Macaca mulatta: one gene and its partner. The protein of the gene in region 1 purifies or fractionates together with the protein of each later gene. This does not show direct contact. Links are inferred from orthologs where the notes say so. Each region holds a gene or a part of one and is shown on either strand. Other genes may lie near its edges.

The links. Proteins that work in one complex are often made in the same cells at the same time.
Region 2: the proteins of APAF1 (region 1) and CYCS purify together in Homo sapiens (affinity purification with western blotting; 3 studies listed by BioGRID and IntAct, with this or other methods). This does not show direct contact. The link is inferred for Macaca mulatta from reciprocal best matches to the Homo sapiens genes APAF1 and CYCS.

The regions. Positions count from the first base shown.
Region 1 is NC_133416.1:105,957,831-105,961,481, reverse strand, and holds part of APAF1 (apoptotic protease-activating factor 1), read right to left. Parts: intron 3,085-3,651; coding exon 2,972-3,084; intron 2,867-2,971; coding exon 2,735-2,866; intron 1-2,734. UniProt on the Homo sapiens protein: Oligomeric Apaf-1 mediates the cytochrome c-dependent autocatalytic activation of pro-caspase-9 (Apaf-3), leading to the activation of caspase-3 and apoptosis. This activation requires ATP. Isoform 6 is less effective in inducing apoptosis.
Region 2 is NC_133408.1:103,268,041-103,271,791, reverse strand, and holds CYCS (cytochrome c), read right to left. Parts: upstream 2,434-3,751; 5' UTR 2,171-2,433; intron 1,301-2,170; 5' UTR 1,293-1,300; coding exon 1,124-1,292; intron 1,019-1,123; coding exon 870-1,018; 3' UTR 2-869; downstream 1-1. UniProt on the Homo sapiens protein: Electron carrier protein. The oxidized form of the cytochrome c heme group can accept an electron from the heme group of the cytochrome c1 subunit of cytochrome reductase.

The DNA of each region.
Region 1 (3,651 bases):
ATGAGACCTTGTCTCTACTAAAAATAAAAATTAGAAATATCAGCCAGGTGTGGTGGTACGTGCCTATAGTACCAGCTACTTAGGAGGCTGAGGTAGGAGGATTGCTTCAGTCCAGGAGGCTGAGGCTACAGTGAGCCATGATGGCACCACTGCATCCCAGCCTGGGAAACAGTGTGAGAGCCTGTCTTAAATAAAAAAAAAAAAAAAGAATGATTAAATTTAAGGATATTCATCACAGCATACTTAGAACGGTGAAAAAAATCTTAAATAATGTAAACAATGTCCAATAACAGAGAAGTGGTTGAATAAATTAAGATATATCAATATTATGCCACTGGTAAATTTTTTTCAAAAAAATATTTAACAACATGGGAAAATGCTCAAGATATATAAAAAGGGTAAGGTCAGCCAGGCGCAGTGGCTCACACCTGTAATCCCAGCACTTCGGGAGGCCAAGGCGGGCAGATCACAAAGTCAGGGGATCAAGACTAGCCTGGCTAACGTGGTGAAACCTCGCCTCTACTAAAAATACAAAAAAATTAGCGGGGCATGGTGGTGGGCACCTGTAGTCCCAGCTACTCAGGAGGCTGAGGCAGGAGAATGGCGTGAACCCGGGAGGCGGAGCTTGCAGTGAGCCAAGATCACGCCACTGTGCTCCAGCCTGGACAATAGAGCGAGACTCCGTCTCAAAAGAAAAAAAAAAAAGGGTAAGGTCCAGCTGGGTGTGGTGACATGCGTCTTAGTTTTAGCACTTCAGGAGACTGAGGTGGGAGGATTGCTTGAGGGCAGAAGTTTGAGACCTGCCTGGGCAACATAGTGAGACCCTATCCCTACAAAAAAAATTAAAAATTACCCAGGTAGGTGGTGAGTATCTGCAGTCCCAGCTATTCAGGAGGCAGGGGCAGGAGGATTGCTTAAGACGAGACATTCAAGCCTGCGGTGAGCTGTGATCTTGTCACTGCACTCCAGCCTGGGTGACAGAGCAAGACCCTGGCTCTTCAAAAATAAGGGCAAGATCCAAAACTATGTATACATAATCTCAATTTTTAAAATCTTTGTTCTAAAAGACTGGAGGCAATACTCTCATGATGCTAATAATTATCAGATTATGGATAATTTCTATTTTTTTCTTTATAGTTTCACACATTTTCAAAATGGACATGCATCACCCTTTGTAATAACTACAAATCAAGCATTTTTCCTAAGTGTAAGATTTCTTCAAAAATAAACAAAACTGGCCAGGTGTGGTGGCTCAGGCCTGTAATCCCAGCACTTTGGGTGGCCGAGGCAGGTGGATCACGAGGTCAGAAGTTCAAGACTACCCTGGCCACGATGGTGAAACCCCGTCTCTACTAAAACTACAAAAATTAGCTGGGTGCAGTGGCACATGCCTGTAATCCCAGCTATTAGGAGGCTGAGGCAGGAGGATCACTTGAACCTGGGCAGCAGAGGTTGCAGTGAGCAGAGATCACGCCACTGCACCGAAGTCTGGGCGACAGAGTGAGACTCAGTCTCAAAAAATAAATAAATAAACAAACAAAACTGTGTCTCTATTTGATGGCAAAATGAAAAATAAGGTGGCCAGGTATGGTAGCTCATGCCTATAATCCCAGCACTTTGGGAGGCCGAGGCAGGCAATCACCTGAGGTCAGGAGTTTGAGACCAGCCTGACCAACATGGCAAAACCTCGTCTCTACTGAAAATATAAAAATTAGCCGGGCATGGTGGCACATGCCTGTAGTTCTAGATACTCGAGAGGCTGAGGCAGAAGAACTGCTTGAACCTGGGAGGCAGAAGTTGCAGTGAGCCAAGATCACGCCACTGCACTCCAGCCTGGACGACAGAGTGAGATTCCGTCTCAAAAGAGAAAAAAAAAGAAAAAGAAGAAAAAGAAGGTATTTCCAAGCATAGCAACAATGAAAGAAATAATTTTAAGAGTTGATAGATTTGACTGTATAAAATTTTAAGCTTCTATATGTCAAAAGAATACAACAAATAAAAAGTACACAAAAAACTGGGAAACAGGCTGGACATGGTGACTCATGCCTGTAGTCCCAGCGCTTTGGGAGGCTAAGGTAGGAGGATCATTTGAGGCAAGTAGTTCAAGACCAGCCTGGGCAACATAGCGAGATCCTATATATAAATTTTACATTAAAAAACTGTTTTACTGGGAAATAATACTTGTAAAAATATGACAAAGAGCTAATAGTTTCAATTTTTAGAGTATTTAGAAATAAGTTAAAAATGCTTATATCAAAAAAGAAAAGTGAGTCAAGGATAATTTCTTAAAGTCAAGGATAATTTCTTAAAACATATTCAATAAACAAGTAAAAAGTTTAACTTCACTAACGAAAAATGCAAATTAAGACACCAGTTTTAACTTACCAAATTAGAATACTATTTTTATAAAATCCCAAGCAAATACAAGTTTTAAATCTGATTCTCACTATATTTTTAACTCTGACAGCAGAGGTCACATCTGTGTCTCACTTCTCTCGCTAATGTGGTCTCTAACACACTGTGGGTAGATAGTAAATATTATTTTAATGAATAAATAAATACCATAACATCATGTATCCATTTAAGATATCAGAGAAGAACCTAAAATACTAAATCTCCCAGAAAAGTTCTTGGATGTTCATGTGCTAAGTTATCACATTTGTTAGCTTAATTTACAAAAGGGAAATTATATAACTCCCTATAACCTCCTCATAAACAAAATAAATAACCATACCTTTACATTCTTTTATAATACTATGAGCTTGTTCTGGCAAATCTGCTTTCTTCATATTAACAAAAAGGGATAAAATTTCAAGTCCTTTTTCTTTTCCTAAGGAACTCTCCACAGGGACTACATATTTAGGACCTGCAAACAAAAATCACAAGACAAAGTAAGTAATTTGGTATGCCACATATTTAAATGTAATTGAATTAAATATAAAGGTACTAAAAAGTTAATGAATAATCTTACCCATTACTGAATCTGTAACACTCTTGTCTCTGGTTGTAAGAAGAATCTGACACTGATTGTCAAAAGCTTTCAACACCCAAGAGTCCCAAACATCATCCAAGATCAACAGAGACCTAATTAAAAAAAAAAAATTAATCACTAATGACACTTATTTTAAGCTTCCTTTTAAAAAGATAATCACACCAGTGTCTTTTAAAATCTACCAAATTAAAAATTTTTTTAAACAAATAGATAGCTAGGTTTAGGAAAATGAGTCTTCCTCTTTGCTACACTCTTTTCTCAATATGCTGATTCAAATACGGAAAAAAAAAATTAGAGACTTCTTTCTCCTCAAACCCTAAATCAGAACATATTAAAATTACAGATCCTACCATAAAAGGTTCAGCCACCACTTACTGAGTGCCTTAAAAAAAAAAAGGGGGACCATTACTATCCAAGTAATGGGATTTTCCAACTCAGTCTTTAAGCAACAAAACCAAACTAGAACTGAGCTCAGGTTAGCATTAGAATGCATCATACAGTAACGATGATATGTAACCATTTTTTACCTATAAAACTAGCAATTTCAAATGTTGCAACCTAAAAGAACATTACCTTTCATACAAGTGGTTTTTTTTTAAACAATGTGTTTATTCATAGTAACTAAGAACCTCTATATCAATTCCCAATTGGTCTCTCTA
Region 2 (3,751 bases), on another chromosome or scaffold:
ATCATGATCTGTGGTTTTCTTTTTAATTATCTTTAGTCTTGCGATCACACATTTTAAAATTTGTGTATATCTCCGCTACTTTAATCCTTTTAAGTTGGCAAAAGCACCATTCCCAATCACAAATACACAGTTCTACAGTTTTATGTTTCTGAATGGCTGTTTAAAGACAATCCTAAATTATAACTTAGTTTGACTTAGATTGTAAAGAATTCAAGAGTGAAGTTTAACTTGCTACTATTTTAAAAGCATGTGACCTTATAGATTTGTAAGATGTGAGAAGTGTTGAATAATCTTTAATATTACACATAAACCATACTAAAATGCTCTTCAATAAGTAAAAGGAACCATTTTAAATACAGGGAATTATAATTAGATTGGCATCGTTAAGGCCAAAACTCTAGACATTGCTACCTTATTTATCTTCAACCCTTGCCTTTAAGAGGCAAATGAACACAAAACACAGGTGAATCTTGCTTAGTTCTGAGACAGTGAAGGAATTTCCCCAGTATTTAAATATATTCACATAACCAGCTATATAAATCTAAATATAAAACCAATCTCCAGTAAGTTTTAAGATGGCACTCACCATCTTTGCGAAAAGTTGAACATTACTAACAAAGTCTAATCATATCTTTAGAAGGGGTAAACAGTGATAGCATTTACTGAATTGGAATTACTATTAAAATTCAAAAACGGAACATATTCATTTAACCACAAGCCAGTCTTAGTTTTAAATCAGGACTGCCCAACAAAATATTCTGTCAGTCATTCATGATCTGAATTCTGGTGTATGAGATCTATTAAAGTATGGTACACATAAAAAAGTCATGAGACATTTGTTTTGTAATAAATAAGGCAGTGGCCAATTATTACTCATTAGTAGCTTTTTTGAGATAAGCTATCAAGTCTGCCCTTTCTTCCTTCTTCTTAATGCCGACAAAGATCATTTTTGTTCCAGGGATGTACTTCTTGGGATTCTCCAAATACTCCATCAGTGTATCCTCTCCCCAGGTGATGCCTAAACAAGAAAGAATGCATCGGTTAAGTATTTCACACTCCTCATAGTGTGTCACAGGTGATATTCGTGCGTTTTGTACTGTTTTATTTAACAAGTGGCTCTTACCTTTGTTCTTATTGGCGGCTGTGTAAGAGTATCCAGGGGCCTGACCTGTCTTCCGCCCGAAGAGACCATGGAGATTTGGCCCAGTCTTGTGCTTGCCTCCCTTTTCAACGGTGTGGCACTGGGAACACTTCATAATAAAAATCTTCTTGCCTTTCTCAACATCACCCATATTTAATTCTAAAAACGAAAGCCCCAACTTAGTAATTTTTCCTCAGGTAACAAATACAGTGTAAATGAATGACCACTCTAGCCACTTAATTACCAATCCATTGGTAATTTATGTCATTAAATACCAGAATTAATCTTGTATTGCTTTAATACTCTTTATACCAAATACTCTTTAATACCAAAAACATTTTTTAGGAGCACCTCCTCAAAAACCTATTTTCGTGTGTACACGTGAAGGAACGTTAAAGCCCAAGCAAGCAAAGAGGGAACCTAATTCAAACTCCAGTTTCAGAAGAGAAAATCATGGTCACTAAGCCACAGATCTGACGCTGAAGGGCGATCACATTAAGCCAAAATCACCACAATTTCAATTTTTAAGAAGGCCTAGTCATTTAATCTTACTACCATGTAAAGCTACCTCTTCCTGAGGATATTGCAAAGCACACAAATATTTAAAAAGCGGTACTGGCTGTTTCTACCTGCCCAGGTCACAGAAGTAGCCTGACACTCGAACTTGTAAATGGGAACGCAGGGGCAGGCTGCACGGTCCCCGCAGGACATCCCCACTCTCCTACCTGTGATCCCCCGGGGCGAACATGAGGTCACCCATCCAGGTCGGTTTCAAGGTGACTGATGAAACTGTTTCTAGGATGTCAGAACGACTGACGGAAGAAACGTGCCCACGTAAAGAAATGGCCCCTTATTAGAAGAGCAACAGCTTTTGCCCTCTGAAGGAGAACGTGAAGTGCTAAGCTTCGGCTTTCCGGGTGGGAAGTCTTGCCTATCATTTCCATAGCCCCTCAGCAACCACTACGAAAGGGGCCGCGTCTTCCTCGGATCTGTATCTAAGCCTCCTCTAGTCCCTGACTGAGACCATACCTGTCCCTAGTTAGGGCCGCCGCACCTCAAGCGGTTACTCGCCCGGTTCGGTCTGACCACAGTCCCGGGTCCTCACTCCCGGCCCTCCCACGCAGCGCGGGCTCCACTCGGAGGCTCCACGCCTGGGTCTCGGTCGCTCGCGAGTGCGCGCCGCCCACAGCTCTGCCTCTAACCAGGTGCGGCTTCCGCGACCCGCTCTCACCTGTTTTTAGTCGCTGGCGCAACGAATATTCCCGCTCCAAAGCAGGACGTCCCCACTCTCTAAGTCCAAGGACACGCCGGTTCGCGCTTAAGTACCGGTGTAAGTGCAACCAAACTCGCTCCGCGCTCCCGCGCCCTGACGTGCGGCCGAGCTGGCGGCTACGCAGTAACGTCGCCGCACCTCATTGGCTCTAGTCCCAATGCCTGCGCAAAGGACCTGCGCGCGCATGCAGGCGAGCATGTTAGGGTGTGCGGCGTGCGTGCCCTTCCTCTCGAGGCCTTTCTTGCCCGGCCGTTACGACAGGCCTTTGGTCGTACGACAACGAGGTGGTGTCGGGAGGGGTGATGTCACCCGCGGGCCTCTGTGCGCTTGCGTGTGCTGGAGGAACGGGGAGGGTGGGGCGGAGTCGCCTTGTTGGCGCGTTGCCCTGCTAAAGTATCAGTTCTTGGGCGTGGTGATGTAATGATCTTTGAGCAGGGCGTTCTGCCCGTCCAGGAAAAGACGCCTTAGTTTTGGCGCACCTAGAGGTCTCCTAGCTACCATCTTGTCAGCTGGCGACCTTTACCCAGACTCTGTCCTGCTCCCTTGGCTGGCGCCAGCAGCATCCTAGAGGGACAGCCTGGAACCAGGAGTTACACGAGTTGGGCAGCAGCTCGTGACCTTGTTCTAGTTCCACCTCTACTCCGTTACTTTCAGTCATCTTCCAGCTCTCCGCTTGATGGACGCCCCAAGACTGAGGAACGTGCTGCATTTGCGGCAGAACAGGATTATCCCTCTGACCCCTTACCTGTCAGCGTCTTTTCTGCTAACGCCCTCCTCCCCCTCGCGTTCGTGTGCCGAAAGAACACAGAATGTGTGCTGGCAACATCTAGGAAGAAACATTTTTAGATGATTAGAGAATTATTGGAAATCTAGAGGATTTGCATCCCTTCTTACCTAGGTAAAGGTCATGTTCAAGTAAACTTAATGCAGTTAAGATCATATTGGAAATAAAGGCGTTAATACCCAGCTTTTAGTTATCATAGCCATCCTTTAAAACTAGATCCCCTTCCTGACATGCCTAGTTCTGTCACTGGTTTTCTTGACTCCTTTACCCCTCAAATTCTGGTCCCAAGTTCTGATTAATTTTTCCATCTTTCTTGTTTTTTTTGTTTGTTTGTTTGTTTTTTCTTCTCTCTCCTTGTATTCTGTCTGGCACTGCCGTATTAAGTCAGGTGTTTATTGGCCGGGCGAGGTGGTTCACGCCTGTAATCCCAGCACTTTGGGAGGCCGAGGCGGGTGTATCACTGAGGTCAGGGGTTCGAGACCCGCCTGACCAACATGACGAAACCCCGTGTCTACTAAAAATACAAAAATTAGCCGTGCGTTGTGGCGCGCGC